Drosophila melanogaster: one gene and its partners. The protein of the gene in region 3 purifies or fractionates together with the protein of the main gene of each other region. This does not show direct contact. Each region holds a gene or a part of one and is shown on either strand. Other genes may lie near its edges. The genes, in order: TBPH, Mau2 and Nipped-B.

Region 1 (6,284 bases), about 19 Mb from region 3:
CTTGCCAAACTTTTTATGCCGTGCGCGGCTTATCTTGACAACTACTTCGCTTCGATAAACCATATTGATCAGCTTCACTTCTTTCCGCCCCACAGCTGCGCCCTGAAATCAGCCCGATAAGAACTTAGTGTTAAGCGCTACCTCAAAGTGTCACCATGATCGGACCCAGTTCGCAGATCAGCAAGATCCTGCTCACCCTGCTGTTCCTGCTGATCATCTTCTACGTTTTCATGGACGTGGAGCTCTACCTGCGCATCCACAACTATGCCATCGAGAGGAACTATCACACGAATGTCTCGCTGCCCGCCTCCGTCGTGGGTCCGTCCACCTCGGAGTCCGGGTCCGGCAGCATCGGTGGTAGCAGCAGCAGCAGCAGCAGCAGTAGCAGCAGCACCAGTACGAAACTACCCACCGCCGGCGACCGGCAGCCGTCCTACGAGGACCACACCTGGATATCCTGTGATATAAATCCGCTTTGCCATGTGACCGTGAAGGCCATTCTGTTGGACCACACCAACCACTACCTGTTCGCCCCGCTGGCCACCATGTTCGACAACGTGATCGGCTTCTCGCGCTCCACCTTCATCACGCCCAACATGATATCGTTTTTCCATGTGGGCGTGGCCTGTCTGGCGGGCAAACTGGTGGCCTCGGACAGCCTGGGCTATCGGCGGCTGGGCGTGCTGCTCTTCCAGATCCGCACCTTCCTGGACGACCTGGACGGGCATGTGGCGCGCGTGCGCAAGCACATACGCGGCGAGCGCTCGGAGATCGGCACCTCCGGCTACTATGTGGACGGCCTGTGCGACGGACTCGGCTGCATTGCGCTGCTGCTGGGCATATTCTTTTACCTGAAGAACAATCCACCGCGGAGGGGCTACTCGATCATACCCATGAGCGACTCCAAGCTGCCGGAGCCCACCATGATGATACCGAAGATGAAGGCCACCACGCGCAAGGTGGCCAAGAACGTGATCAGCTTCACGGGCCAGCTGCTGCTGAGCTCGACGGCGTGGAATCGCTACATTGCCGTCTACCAGAACATGCTGGAGCGCGAGGACGTGAGCGGCAACCAGTCGCATTGCCAGGATTACGTGTTCAAGTCGACCTGGTTCTTCTGCGTCGCCTGGATGTGGCGCATCGTCAACGTGCACGCCCTGCTGCACTGCGTCCTGCTGAGCATCTTCTGCGACAAGCTGTGGGACTTCCTGCGCGCGATCCGGTACAGCGGTTACATTATCCTGTTAGTTGCTATATGTTTAACTGAAATGCACATTCTGGAGGCCCAGAACTACATTTTCAACTCTACGGCGTGCAGTAATATTTCACTGTGATTTTACTAATATTACGAGAAAATACAATAATATTTGTGTAGTGCAAATCAGCGATGCCTTTTTTAATTGTGTATAAATAATAATGTATCATAATTGTTAGCCAATCATTAATATTTCGAAACCAACTAATGCATTTTGTCATTCAAGCGCGGTCTGCAAGAGCAATCGAAACTCCTTCAGCTGTAAATAATAAATGTTATTGATTAATAAAGTCTAGCTGTTTTTATCGTACGCATTTCCATGGCGAGCTAATTTCGTTTGAATTTATTTATAATGTTTTGTGTTTCGAAATTTCAAATGAACACGATGCGCAATGCTGCCAAGTTTTTTTTTGGTATAGCTGATGGGCAGCACTGCAAGGTTTGGTATTTTATTCGACAGTACCAAATGCCAATATAATTGCCATATTGTAATGTAATATATTGCTTAGATATTCATAGTGGCAATCAACGCTCATATAGTTTAATAAAGAGGCTATTAAAATTTATGTGACAATGCACTGTTTTAACTAAAAATAATACACTTTTAGTATATCTACCCGCCGGCTGGTATTTCTCACTAGCCCTGTTCGGCCACACTGCGCATACGTCAGGCGATACATACAAAGGAAAAGAAAATCAAAACGGAAAGCGAGAAGAAATGCTTCACTCGTCGTTTGAAAATTTGTTAAGCTGTCAATTGTAAATATTACCTGATTCCTATTTCGCACCGATTGAAAGTGGTTGTGCATCGAAGCGTGTGTTGTGTCAAGAACCGAGCGTGGAACGTACAGTGAATACCTGATTTTGCCTGGGTGTGAATCGAATTCGTGTGAGAGAGCGTGCGATCTGAGATCTGGGATCAGAAATCTATATCTACTTGCCATACGCAGTCAGAAATTACAGCAACCAACTAATCCCTGTCAATAGTGTAAGAATTGTTGTGTAACCAACCATCTTTTAGGACCGCCAAACTGCCTCCGTCTACACATTATGTCCTCCCCTCGACGATTGCGTTTGTGTGCGTGTGTGTGTGTGCCACACACTTGCACTCACACACAGACGACAGGATTGGATATTTTCAATTTATGTGGCTTTCATTCATTGATTTTCCAATTCCTGCCGCGATTCCACACTCACAAACGTCAGTTTACTCGTATTAAGTGGGTGAAATATCTGTTTTCTTGAGTAGTTCAAAACATATACATATGTATGCCATACATCGTAAACTTGGGATTGGGTATTCTTCTTTTGTTTATTAACTAAATGTACGTAGAATAGGCATTTAGCCGATGGTGGGACATAAGTAGCGTCTGATTCAGAGAATTTTTAACTAATAATAACGTAAAGAAACGCCTAAACATGAACACTAATAATATATGAATATGTTTGTAATACTTACTAAAATTATATCATCGAAATTACAAGAGATAGAAACATTGTTTATTTGTCGTTTTTAGTAGATTGACCTAGTGTAGGATCCTTTTTGTTTTGGCTTGGTCCCACGAGCAATGTGTGTATAGAGTGGTTCGGGGCAACCTTTTTGTGTTGAATATTGTACCTTGGGATGCATCTGAATAGAACGGATGAACTGAGTGAGTGCATTCATGAATGCAGCGATGCAGAATATGTGGGATGCTTCCGTTGACTGAATGACATGGTGGATCATTTCTAGAGCGAAGTGTGAGCCCCTGCGGCGATAGAGTTCTTTAATCCCCTCCTCGTTTCTAGCAGCCTTCTAGGAAATGGATTTCGTTCAAGTGTCGGAGGAGGAGGGCGACGAGCCCATCGAGCTGCCGGCTGAGGAGGATGGCACTCTGCTTCTGTCCACACTGCAAGCTCAGTTCCCTGGATCCTGCGGTCTGAAGTACCGCAACCTGGACACGAAGGCTGTGCGCGGAGTTCGCTCCAACGAGGGCAGACTGTTTCCGCCCAGCGTGGAGTCCGGCTGGGGCGAGTACGCTTACTTTTGCGTCTTTCCCAAGGGTAAATTCGAGTTGTATGACTCCCTGTTGAACCTTAAATAATTCTGTAATCCCCCCCTGCAGAGAACAAGCGCAAGAGCGACGATAACTTGGAGAACTCAACTGCCAAGACCAAACGCATCGAGACCCGTCTGCGCTGCACTGATCTCATCGTGCTCGGCTTGCCGTGGAAGACCACAGAGGAGAGCTTGCGTGAGTACTTCGAGACCTACGGCGAGGTGCTGATGGCCCAGATCAAGAAGGACACCAAGTCGGGCCAGTCCAAGGGCTTCGGTTTCGTGCGCTTCGGCTCTTACGATGCCCAGATGCGCGTGCTCACCAATCGCCATCTGATCGACGGTCGCTGGTGCGAGGTTAAGGTGCCCAACTCGAAGGTAAGTCCTCTTGTTAGCCCTGCAATTTCACGCCTACTAATCCTTCTATTCTCATAGGGCATGGGCCACCAGGTGCCTTGCAAGGTGTTCGTGGGCCGCTGCACCGAGGACATTAACTCGGACGACTTGCGCGAGTATTTCTCCAAGTTTGGCGAAGTCACTGATGTGTTCATTCCCCGGCCCTTCAGGGCCTTTAGCTTTGTAACCTTCCTTGATCCCGACGTGGCACAGTCCCTGTGCGGAGAGGATCACATTATCAAGGGTGAGTCACTGCCGCGTGGAGAAGAATCAGGGAATTAATGAGACACTTTCCACAGGCGTTTCGGTCCATGTGTCGAATGCTGCTCCAAAGGCCGAGCAGAACAGAAACCAACAGGTCCAGAGCTACAACTACAACTCTGCCAACAGCTTTGGCATGCACTCATACCACCCACAGGGTAACCACATGAATCCGGGCCGCAACGGACACCACCGAGGTAATAACCAACACAATGCTCACGGCGGTGAGAACGCAATTGTGCCCAATAATCACAACATTGGCACCGCCGGCTACGGCATGGGTGGCAACAATTACGGCGGCAACTCGGGCGGGGGCTACCACAACAATGGCGGCAATCACTCCAGTGGCGGGAACACGAACCGCCAGGACGGCGGCAGCCAGTACAACAGTCGCCAGTCGAATTTTCACGGAATGAACCAGCCGCATAACGGCAACGTGGGCGGCAGCAACGGCTGGATGAACCGTGGCCACCTGGACATGCCCAACCTGCAGGCCCTGGGCATCAACTCGCAGGGATCGAGCTCCTCCAACCAGGGCCAAAACATGAGCAACCAGTCAATGCTCAATCTCAACTCATTGCCCATCAATCCCGCACTGGTCGCTGCCGCCTTGAACCAGTGGAGCCTGGTCGGCAACCAGCTGCAGAACCAAAACCAGGACCAACAGGCAAGCCTTCACACCTCAATCATTGTTTCAAACAAAAAACTCTCTCACTTGCTCCGCAGGGCGGCAATTTTCTATCTTGGATGGCTCAGAACGGGGGCCACAACAATGCCAACAACTTTGGTGGACGGAAGGGGCCGAATAACCCGAACAACAATCCGGCCGCCAACGGAATAAAGACCGACAACTCGGAGCCACAGGTTAGAGTCAAAACTGAAACCATCCCCTAAGAAACCTGGATCCCAGCCAGAATCTATTCTACTCTATTCCAGAATGGGAACACCGGTTGGTCGAACCAGAGCAGCGGATCTCAAAACGCCGCGGAGAAGTCAAACTTTCTTTAAGGCGGTGCCTGTCACCCAATGATGTGGTTAATGTGGTTAACCAACACCTCTGTAGCTTACTTAAATTTACATATATGTATTCCACATACAAACCAGTTAAGAATTGTATTTAATATGTAATAGATATTTTGATAATTGTAAACAAGATGACACTGGATGGCTAATAACACAATTGATAAAACACACTTCAAAATAAATTCTGCGCCAAAGCTCAGTAAAAATTGTATCATTGTATCACTTAAGTAGAATTTGATTTGTATTTTGTTGTTTATTAAATATATTTTGGCTTACGCTAAGAAAGTTTAGTTATAAAGATTGTGCACTTATAATGCTGGATCTGCGGAGAATTTCCAATATAACAAAGTTTTCTTTAAGATATCTAAACGAATTTGGCGCAGCCTCATTTTAGAGGAGAATTCATTTAACATGTACATTCATTTCAAAAAATAAAGAATGCAAAAGCATATTAGTACAAAGTGAATCATTTCATTTGAATGGAATCTATGGGATTGTGAATTGAATATTTTAATATATTCCTGTAAAGGAAACTCTCCCGTCTTGGAAACTTATCTCTTATTCTTTGAAAATAACAAAGTATGTTTTATAATTCAGTTTGTAATGACACCTGGATCTTTTTTTTTTACAAATTTCCACTACACATTTGTTTGAGTATATGCAAGGAATACCCTTAATGAGCAAGCTTTGCGCCAGCGAAAATACAGCCCTGTGTTCCATTCCGCCATTTTTCTATTTTCACGACGGTGGCAATAACGGAACTTGCAATTGCCGCGCGCATTGCGGCGCACTTCACTTAATTTAGTGTCAATCTGTTTGAAGCTAGCAGAAATGAACCACATCATCCAGGACAAGTACATTCCGCAACAGCTGCTCTACTTCTTGGCGGGACGGCGCTGCTGCCAGCAGTTCCCGTGCACATTCCGCACCAGCGAGCACGAAGCATTCGCCAACAACGCCCGCTCCTTGGGGCTGCGATCGCAGGTGGTCCATGTCAACGGGAATAGCTGCGTGAAGGTGTACAAGCAGGCATGTCGCCACTACCTGGAGGAGCCCAAGACGCTGGTTTTGTCCTCGGGCGCTACGCTGAACATGTTTACGCTGCTGAGCAGGAAGTCCTTGATGGGCAAGGAGGATTTGGAGCTTTACGCGGACCTCGTCTCCATGAAGGCCAATGCCTCGGACCTACCGTCACTGCATCTGCCGCTGCCCGCCATACGTCCTCCTAACCTGCGCTTCTGGACGGAGGCGCAGCTGAATTTCCTGACTGCTTTTCTGGGTCACTCGCTGAGCGACGAGATCTTGCAGTCA
Region 2 (5,213 bases), on a different chromosome or scaffold from region 3:
TTCACTCCCATTAAGCTGAGGATCTGAAAAGGTAACAGCTTACGTGTTAGTGCGACTCAAGTGGTCCAGTTAGGTCATAGCTTACAGGGGTCAGTTCCAGGCGCTGCTCAAACTGGAACTTGGGCAGCGACAACTCGATCTTCTGCGGCAATGCCCGTTCGAACCATTTCTTAACGGAATCGGCATTTAGCCGGGATATGACACGGTTAAGACTGATTTTGTTGGAGTTCGGCAGAATGATAATCATGGAGATATCGGATTTGGACTCGGGGGTGGAAATGTGCGTCTCCTTCGACTTGTATATGGTGCGGTAGGGCAGCTTGATGATCTGCGATTGCAAGCCCTCATCGATGGTCATCTTGAAGGCGCCCGTCTTGTGCATCATGTAAACCATTTCCTGCTCACGCTCGTTAATGAAGAATGGCTTCAAGGCGGTCTCCTCCACCTTGAACTGGCTGAGCCACTGGCCCTTCATGTAGGCGGCGTTGGCCAGCACCAACATGGTGTGGGGTGTGATCTCCTCGGAGCTGAGCATGTCGCGGATCTGGTTGTGCGTCTTATCGGCTATCCAGTCGTTAATTTCCTTTAGGCCAGTCTCCGGATCATTCTTGAAATCCAATTCTTTGGTTGCCCCGTAGAGTAAAGTGTTGAATTTGTTGGAAACATTTATTGTCCTGTCGACGAAAATTCTGTTCGCAGACGAGAGCTCCATGGGACTTTGGCGCCAACGAAATTCGTCCTGCCTCTGTGCCAACGTGTACGAAACTAGGACCTGCTGTTTGTTTAATGCCCATCCCAGGTTCAGTGCCTGGGCCAGCTCACGTTCCGTCTGCTCGGAGGAACTGAAGTAGGCGAGGAGCAGGGCGTTGTAGGTGCTGAACGGCGAGAAGAACAGATTGCCGCTGGGATATATCTCTCGGATCTGTTTCATTAATGCTAAGGAGAAGTCTCGTTCTCCCTTGAAAATTTGTGAGAATTCATTTAGAAATGATAGCTCCGGCTTGTCCAAGGCAGCTATGGTTACTACGGGAAGGAGGGCCAACAGGACCAAACTGAAGGTGTGCATAGTTGGTACTGTCTAAAAATTTAAGGACATTCATTAAGTATGAACTATAAAGAATTTATGAACTAGAACTAATAAATAGTGAAGGATGTGATATTATTTCTCACAATGTGAATTTTTCCAAAGAAAAAACATGAATCATTAAATAATCTTGGCCTCATAACATTATAGTTTATTGTTCATATGTATGTATATTGTGGGATTTTGCCAGAGATAGTGTTGGAATCCTTAATCGACTTTGTGGCACATCCAAATTTTGTCGGACTATTAAAAATGAGCTTTTTACAATAGGATTTTAAATATAAACATTGACACGAGCCCAACTGAGACAAGTTTCTCAGAACCATTAAAAAAATCTCTTTCTTCACATTTCCTAGAATTCTGTATTTCTTGTATTCATCATAATTCTTATAACATATATATTTATATATATATATATATTATATAGTATATTTATACTGATAAGAAACTTTCATGTGCCGGAGTATGTGTTTAAATCGATTGCAAACATAAATTATTATGTATAGTCGTTATTGATACAAGCGTATGAAATATTTATTTTAAAAGAATCTTGGGTTTTACCTTAACGGAATTTTGCACAGAACTTAAATCAAAACGGAAACAATGGTGGTCCAACCGATTGCACTTACAATCACTGACTAATGCATGTGGCAATAAACGGCAGAGCTAGGCTTAAAAATAATGAGAATAATGCGATAAGCGGGCGAAATCGCAGCTGATCCTCGAATTTAAATTGATAACGTACTGTTCCGTCACTGAAATAAGACGGTTTTTCTAAACAGTGATTTAAAGTAAGAATTGGTTTCCTAATTGGAGTTCTGCTAAATTTACCATGTTTAAATAATATTATCTCATTTTTCTATATTTATTAAATTTATTTAGTTGATTACTGCAAAAAGAAATAATTTTTGATTCGTACAGAAATATATATTATCTACTCAGTTTTGTTTTTAAGCGATAGCTTTTTTCAAGTTTTATGTTCTGCTGAACGGGACCATTCGCGGTACTGAAAAAGAGTGACTGCCACTGTGACTGCTAAACGATAACCGCTAAAGCTTGGTTCACCACTAGAATTCCGCACTTGACAACACTGGCAGCCACCACCGTGATTGAATAGTCGCGAATTGACAACAAAATTACGCGATAAACAAACCGAATTTGGCACCCGCTCACCGAAATGAGTGCATCGACGAGCACGTCGACGGCGGCGTCCCAGGACGCCTGCTACATATCGCTCCTTGGCCTGGCGGAGTACTTCCGCACCTCGCAGCCGCCGAACATCAAGAAATGCATCCAGTGTCTTCAAGCCCTGTTCACATTTATGCCGCCCTCGAAGGTCGAGGCGCGGACACATTTGCAGATGGGCCAGATCCTGATGGCCTACACTAAGAACATCGATCTGGCGCGCCAGCATTTGGAGAAGGCGTGGAGCATATCCGAACCGCTGCCCAATTTCGACGTTAAGTTCGACACCGCCTCGCTGCTGGCCCAACTGCATCTGCAGACGGACAGAAACTCGCATCAGGCCAAGGCGATGCTCCGGCGGGCCGTGGAACTGTCGCAAAACAACGTCTATTGGCACTGCAAGCTGCTGCTCCAGCTGGCCCAAATACATGCCAGCGATCGCGAGTACTCGCTGGCCTCCGAACTGCTGGCCGTGGGCGCGGAAAGTGCCGACGAGGCGAGCGCCACGTACCTGAAAGTGCTCTTCCTGCTCTCGCGCGCCATGATCCTTATGATCGAGCGCAAGACCAACGACGTGCTCGCCCTGCTCAACTCCGCCGGCCAAATCATTGACAACAACATACCCAATCCACACCAGAAGGAGTACCTGAAGGTGTTTTTCCTGGTGCTACAGGTGTGCTACTACCTGGCCCTCGGGCAGGTAAAAACGGTGAAGCCTAGTCTCAAACAGCTGCAGATGTCCATACAAACGATAATGGCGCCAAATTGGCCTTCGGATGAGGCGATTTTCGGGGCAAATCAACTCGAGATGTTTGTGTGGCTGCCCAAGGAGCAGCTGTACGTCCTGGTCTATCTGGTCACTGTCTCCCACTCAATGATGGCGGGCTACATGGACAAAGCACAAAAGTACACGGAAAAAGCACTCACCCAGATCGAAAAACTTAAGCAACAGGAGGACAAACCCATTCTATCCGTATTCAAGGTGATTCTGCTGGAGCACATTGTGATGTGCCGCATGGTGATGGGCAACCGGGAACTGGCTATCCGGGAAATAGCAGCCGCGAGAGACGTTTGCATGGCCGCTCCGCAACGCAGCCTGCTACGGCGACACTCGGCTCAGCTGCACTGCCTCATCGGGCTCTACTCCATGTCCACCAACCTCTTTGAGCATGCGGAGAGGCAGTTCGTCGTGTGCGTGAGTGAGACCAGCGAGCGAGACCTGAAACTGTTTGCCAACCTCAACCTGGCGATCATTTATCTGCGCACCAAGCGGGACACGGACCTCAAGCAAATCCTGGATGCCGTCTCAACGGAAAACACGCACACGTATAGCAGTCAAGCGCTGATGGGAGGCTTCTACTACGTCCAGGGACTGCATGCTTTTCACAAAAATAGCTTCCACGAGGCGAAGTTAGTCACCTTAAGCCAAGACTCTAGAATGTAAACTGATAATCTTTATTCTTTTCAGACGCTTTCTGCGTGAAACTCTGAAAATGGCCAACGCCGAAGACCTCAACCGACTGACCAGCTGCTCGTTGGTTTTGCTATCGCACGTCTTTCTCAGCATCGGAAACTCAAAGGAAAGCATGAACATGGTGACGCCGGCCATGCAACTGGCCAGTAAGATACCCGACATCCACGTCCAGCTGTGGGGATCGGCAATACTAAAGGACCTGCATCGTATGTCAAAGGATGTGCAGCATGAAAAAGATGCTTATGCTAACCACGTTAAATACTCGGAGAACCTGATTGCAGACCAGCGCAAGTGCGTCCAAAGTGCGCATCACGAACTCGTCAACTGGTTCCAGGGCGATCCGCCAGTGACGAGTGGTCCGCCGGCTGCTCCCGTCCTGCTCATGCCAGAGTCCTCCGTTACAGCCTCAGTCCCCGTCATCGCCTCCACATCGACAGCCATGCAGCCGGCGGGGCAATACGGTCAGTTCTACTAGCAATGAGATGATTATGCAATGTAACTTTAAGCTTTTATTTTTATCTACGACCTAGCGACTAAGTTAAGACTAAAGATGTTCTAAAGTTGTGAATTTTGTCATAAACTGTGTTCCCGAGGGAAAGAGTAGACGGAAATGTAAAGCGGATGAGTTGTGCGCATTTGAGTTGGGTCGTTCAACTTAGGATTATAATCATTATTACAATTAAAAGTAAGGATCCGTCTTGGGTATTAGGCAAACTCAACCACCTTTACAAAAGCCGCCTTGCTTGCACAGCTTCTACATTGATTTATAGCATAAGCGCAGACTCGGTCATCTCGTTAAGTTCCTCTTCAAGGGCCCCGCTTCCGTTTTCCTTGTTGCTTAGAAATGTGAAGTGCACCAGGCGTTTGTCGTGCTGCTCGTGGCCGGCCAGATGTGATCGCATCTCGGGCATCGACTTGAACTCCTCATTGCACACCGGACAAATGTAGATCCGCTCGCCCTGATGTGTACGCTGGTGCATCTGGCAGTCACCCCGCTGCGTAAAGGTCTTCGAGCAGAAGGGACAGACGTACGGCCGCTCACCTGTGTGCGTCCTTCGGTGGTTCTTTAGCACATTGAGGGCAGTGAATCTCATGGGGCAGAGATCGCAGGCGTATGGCCGTTCGCCAGTGTGCTTTCGTTTGTGCTTGGCCAGGGAGCAACTAGTGGTGAATCTGGCCAAGCACACCTCACACTCGAAGGGCTTGTCGCCGGTGTGGGTGCGTGCATGAGAGGTGAGTTCCGCCTTGGTAACAAACGAGTGCGGGCACAGCTCGCACTTGAAACTCTTTGTCTCCGAGTGACGCAGCTTGTGCTGGCGCAGATTGGCATTCTGTGTAAAGCTCTTGCCACAGATATTGCACACAAAGGGTTTCTCGCCGGTGTGGATGCGCATGTGGTCACGCAGCGTGGACAGCATGGTGAATACTACAATATTAAGAGACAATTAAATAGGATTTTCGACCACTCTT
Region 3 (5,435 bases):
GAGCCGGAATTCAGGGAAGTGGTCAAGGATTCAGAGGTCGCAATGCTGGTAACAATCAAGGTGGCGGTTTCTCCGGAAGCCCGCAGAACCAGCAGACAACCGAAACCGTAGTCGGTAGTAGCGTGGTCCACGCCCTGGCGGAGGTGCAGGTGGCACGATGAACAGCACCAATATGGGTGGTGGTAGCGATGGAGATGGTGGTCCGCGCGGCTGTGAAGACTTCATCATTTAACATCGGTTTCGCAGGATTTCTGGGCCCACCTTTGAACTGGAAACAGTGGAAGTGCCCACGGAGACGAAGTTCTCCCATCGAAATCGTCTCTATGTGGGCAACCTGACCAATGACATCACCGACGCTGAGCTACGCGAGACGTTCAAGCCATACGAGCCATACGATTAGCGAGATCTTCTCGAACCTGGATAAGAACTTTAAATTCCTAAAGGTCGACTATCATCCCAATGCCGAGAAAGCTAAACGCGCCCTGGACGGATCGATGCGAAAGGGTCGCCACGATTCGCACCGAATGTCATTTTGCGGGTGATTTTGCGGAAGAAATCTCACACCGATACTTAAAACCATCGATAGTATCGATAGTTCCATCGATGGTTTTCCAGCTCTATTACAAACAATAATACCAACTGGGTCTAGTTTAAGAAAATTTCTGTTCCCACACTGAACTTTGCTCCTGAATTGTGTTTTCACTTGACGGACCCACGCGTCCGCGTCCTGACTTTGAGACTCCCGCCCATACACTGCTCGACTACCCTCGTGCACTTATTACTCACTACATGCTTTAGCTGCCTGGTCCAGAGGCGCTGCTGCCGTCTATAGGCTGTTTTATTTTCCCGTTACGCACGGCTCGCTAGAGTCCAAGGTCCACGTGTCCAGTAAACACCTTTACCGTTCGACCTCTGTGCCCTTGGCCGGTCTCTCCGCTTTACCGGGGTCCAAGGTCCAATCTTCAGCGTTTGACCTGACTCCTCCCGCATTACTGCTTTCTGCTCTGTTCTCCTGGACTTATTGTGAGTTTTAAGACCCCTCACAGTATTGCTGTTTTGCAGCAGGGGAGAGAAAAAGAATACGTATGCATATACGATATATACGTTGAGTATGCCCTAAGCCTTTGGTAAGCGTGGAAAGGCTGATTATGCATTTATATTTGGTGGCCGTAAATTGGGTGCCCACCTCCGCCGAATCCGCCTACCGACTCATTTAGTCTCCCTTTGTGAACCGGTATGTGCGCGCTTTGTAAGCAATTTTTTTAGGCCAATTTTTTTCACACTCTCGCACACTCAATGTAAGGTAAGTTTTTAGTAAGTGAGCAAACATGCTCAATAAAACGACGCTATGTGGCGCTTTTCGACTATAATTCGATTGATCGAGCTCTGCAGGTACCGGCTACGAGCTCCACATTTATTGCCAATTGTTCTTCAATCGTTGAATTATTAATTCACAAAATATTTCTCATGTATGAGAAGGACAATTGACTTTACCAAGACGCAAATTTGTTTTAAGCCTGTAGAAAATAATTTTACGTATAATTGCACAAAAAGGTAAGGTAATCATATATCATATATCAATAATTTGTTTTCCCAAGATCCATGATCTGGAAGAAATGAACTAAAACAAAATCGATTTATTCGCATACAATTGCACATCCTTGAATATTCATATCTTGTAAGCATACGCATTTCATATGGAAAAAGAGATTATGCGATATCGGTTGTTTTGCCGTTTTGAACGGCATTTCCTAATGAAGACCTTTTTATCGACTCGTTTTCACTGTTAACATTTATTGAAATAAGTATCGGGACAGGAGAAGTAGCTTCAAGTCGGTAATGCCCTAAATTGCAATAAAACATTTTTCTTTTAGAAATATCTTTCAAACATCCAAGCTCTCTACGTTTTATTGAGTTGGTGTGTAACTACATAGTCTGGAAAGGAGTATTATATATGAAGTATTAACGTTTCGGTCTGAAAAGGTATTTTTTTATTAAGTTTAGCGCGGCCACACTATCCTACAGGTCGGCCATATTCTTCAAACACTATTTCGCAAACTAAAAAATTACAAGTACTTATTATTGTAAATGTATAAGTTGGTATTTAATTAAAACGCAAAGGAGAACCGGAGTAATTCGTTTATATTGAACTGTGGCAATTCGTTAATAATTGTTGATCGCAATAACATAACGGTAAATGGTAATGCTACCGCAATTTTTTTAACTACGTAAGTAGTTGTTTATTATAAATCAATTTAAAGGGATTTATCTAATAGATTTTTAATTTATAAACTAAAAAGATAAGATAGTACATAAAGTGACTTATAATACAGCTGGACAACATCCATATATTTTAATATATTCATATAAACATTGTTTCCAATTACATTGTTTATCATGTTGATGAAATAATGTTTGGTTGTAGCGTAATGAATAATAGATTTATTTTTTTTAGCTCCTAGAATCAAAGTTGTGTTGTAATCTATCGGATTATCCTTACATTTAATATGGGGGAACGTGACAACCCAACCGTACCTGTAACAACATTAGCTGGTTTAACCAGCACTTCTGATTGTAAGTATTTTCTGTGCAAGAAAATATAATGTGTATGTACAAGTTTAAAAACTTTTAATATTTTTCTCGTTTAAATGCAAGTGCTAAGCGAGCTACCAGTGGCGGATTCGCTCCAGAGTGCTGCGTCCTTAAATAAATCTTTATTGTTCCATGCTTTGGTAGCTAACGAGTCTAGCAATTTACTTTCTATGCGAAACGAAAATCTAGTTCGACAATTGGTAACTGCCATTGAGAGAACAAACTCCGATAATATGTTAGTTGTTTAATTGATTGTATGTTTTGCTTTATTAAAATAACTTGTATTTTAGAGAGTTAATACATTGCCCAGTTCAAGACACAGCAACTAACTGTAGTACTTATCCTGAGCTTCTCCAGGGAATATATCATTTTCGCCCAGCGGTTTTTAACACTTCCATAAAAATACGTATGTTTTAATAATAAAAGCAACCATTTGTGTATTACATGAATTTCATCCACAGACTCTCCGGACCAACATACTGCTAATGCTCGATTAGAGGCAAAGAAAATGCAAATTGATTCCTATTCAATACCGGAATGTTATGCATCACCAACAAATTTGTCGATTTCAAATGAACATCAATTGCAAGACGCTCAAGCCTGCTTCAATCAGCTTACTAGGTGGCGTATATATTTTATTATTCTACAAGCCTTATATTTAATGCATTTTTCTGTTTTAGTATGACCTCAAAAGAAATCTTAGAAGAATTTTCACAAATAAATTTTAAGGAAAATGCAACAGAAAAAGATAAAATTGACGTTATTGAAAATTCAGATTTAAATGTGACTAAGATACTTTCACAAAATACTCTAAAAAAAAAGTCTAACACACCAGAAAGAAGTACGGTGCAATCAATACAAGAACAGTTTTTTATTCAGCAACAAGAAGCCAATTATAATTTAAAACATGATTTAAACCAAGTATCAACAAATGTTGGTCAAATTCAAAATATTTCTGATACTTTTCCCCAAGAGCCGTCAAATTTTAATTTAAATTCTGTAAATATCCCAAACATGTTATATGTACAAAGTCCACCTTTCACTGAATCAGAACCAACTCAAGCACACCACTCTTCAATTGAATATTTAAAAAAAAAAAAATCACAAATTCTTGACGTCAGCATTTTAAATCGACAACAGGTGTTAGAAAATACCAGCTTACATATTATTAATAAAAGTTCAACGTACCAAACGAACCAAAATGTATCAACAACTACATCGACATCTACTTCCTCAAGTGGCAAGTCCCAGGTCCGGGTATGTATAAATCGCCTTAGTATTGAGGATTCTCGCCTTATGCAACAGAGTATTAAAAAGTTTGTACAAAAGTCACCAGAATTGGCTAGAAGCATGGGGTTACTACAAGAAACGTGCCAGCAGCAACATGAAAACTTGAATATTATACCCACGAGTGCGGAAGAATGTGTATTAGAGAGTCGTGCTTCCAGTACAAATAATACAGTCAAAATCCCTATTGATACATTTTCTACTATAAAAGCCGATGAAAAACGATCCGCGAAAAGAAAACTTGCCATATCAATTGGTGACATCCCACCGGAACAAATATGTAAGTAATGAGTAATAATTTCCTTATACAAAAATTAATTGATCAAAATTATATTATAGTTTCAAAGCCTAAAATGCGTCGGGTCGAAAGAATTACACCTCTTTCGAACACAAAGTGTGTGAAGGAGGAAGTCACCCGTTCGCAAACATATCAACAATTTATTCGAAACATGGATCACATAATTGAAATATTAGACGATAGTGAATCTCCTAACTTTGACTCAGGTAAGTTCAAATACTCTGTTAAAGCTAGAGAATATTTATGAAACTTTAAGACCTATTATTAATTAGTTCGATTAATTGACACTTATGTTTACAAATATTTTTACCCGTTACTCTTAGAGTAAAGGGGTATACTAGATCCGTTGAAAAGTATGTTACAGGCAGAATAAAGCGTTTCCGTCTATATTAAGTATATATGTATATCCTTGATCAGGATCAATAGCCGATTCGATCTAGTCATATCACTCTGTCCGTATGAACGTCGAGATTGGAGGAAATATATGAACTAGAAGGTTGATATTCAGCATTCAAATTCTAGAGACAAAGATGCAGCGAAAGCTTGAATGCATTCCCCAATTAATATTGATGCAGCGAAATTGATGCAGCGAAAGCTTGAATGCATTCCCCAATTAATATTGGGGAATAAAATGAGAAATGTTTTTTAAATTGCTCTAAAGTGTGTGGTTGACCGGTTTGACAGCTTTAGGGCGTTAGAGTGGGCGTGGCAAAAAGTTTTTGGCAAATCGATAGAAATTTAAAAAATTAAAAATATGTGAAAAAACAGGAACATACTAAAATCGACTAAATACAGCAATTTCGTTATCTCTAAAGCTTGCCCTATAACTTCACAATACTATTGAGCTAGGCTTACGACTATATTTTCTTTTTCATAAGACGAAGGCTGTCCACAGAGTTTTTATTGGTGACAAATCTTGTCAATATATTCCGATTTTTTGCCAACTTGGTACTGGTTTAAACCATCAAAGGAATGCCAGCTTTGATCATCTGGATGATCCGTGTATTTCTTTAACCCTCTTGATTCTCCTTGTCATGGGTTAGCTGAAAGGTTACTGAGGTACTTAGGAGGTAGTTACAGTTTTAAGTCACAGTTTTGACAATAATCAAGTAATAATAATAAATAATACATTTCTTTCAGTGATTTTAGTAAAACGCTTGTTGATTGCACGCATTGACCTTGTTATTTAGTTGAACAGAATCAGAGAAGGGTATTGATAGCATAAGTATTTTTTTTTATCAGGAATTCAAATCTAATT

The links.
Region 1: the proteins of Nipped-B (region 3) and TBPH purify together in Drosophila melanogaster (affinity purification with western blotting; one study listed by BioGRID). This does not show direct contact.
Region 2: the proteins of Nipped-B (region 3) and Mau2 purify together in Drosophila melanogaster (affinity purification with mass spectrometry, with the first as the bait; one study listed by BioGRID). This does not show direct contact.

Annotation. Positions count from the first base shown.
Region 1 is NT_033778.4:23,858,220-23,864,503, reverse strand, and holds TBPH (TAR DNA-binding protein-43 homolog), read left to right. Parts: upstream 1-1,910; 5' UTR 1,911-3,057; coding exon 3,058-3,298; intron 3,299-3,360; coding exon 3,361-3,671; intron 3,672-3,728; coding exon 3,729-3,933; intron 3,934-3,988; coding exon 3,989-4,617; intron 4,618-4,676; coding exon 4,677-4,814; intron 4,815-4,886; coding exon 4,887-4,958; 3' UTR 4,959-5,437; downstream 5,438-6,284. Other genes in the region: Cpes (ceramide phosphoethanolamine synthase), read left to right, coding at 156-1,334; bgcn (benign gonial cell neoplasm), read left to right, coding at 5,805-6,284.
Region 2 is NT_033777.3:15,207,039-15,212,251, forward strand, and holds Mau2 (Mau2 sister chromatid cohesion factor), read left to right. Parts: upstream 1-2,165; 5' UTR 2,166-2,261; coding exon 2,262-3,679; intron 3,680-3,737; coding exon 3,738-4,218; 3' UTR 4,219-4,309; downstream 4,310-5,213. Other genes in the region: Spn88Eb (serpin 88Eb), read right to left, coding at 1-23, 86-1,066; CG6654 (uncharacterized protein), read right to left, coding at 4,508-5,169. UniProt on the Drosophila melanogaster protein: Required for association of the cohesin complex with chromatin during interphase. Plays a role in sister chromatid cohesion and normal progression through prometaphase.
Region 3 is NT_033778.4:4,725,572-4,731,006, reverse strand, and holds the start of Nipped-B (Nipped-B), read left to right. Parts: upstream 1-1,989; 5' UTR 1,990-2,228; intron 2,229-2,455; 5' UTR 2,456-2,507; coding exon 2,508-2,574; intron 2,575-2,655; coding exon 2,656-2,827; intron 2,828-2,882; coding exon 2,883-2,998; intron 2,999-3,053; coding exon 3,054-3,213; intron 3,214-3,272; coding exon 3,273-4,159; intron 4,160-4,218; coding exon 4,219-4,383; intron 4,384-5,435. UniProt on the Drosophila melanogaster protein: Plays a structural role in chromatin. Involved in sister chromatid cohesion, probably via an interaction with the cohesin complex.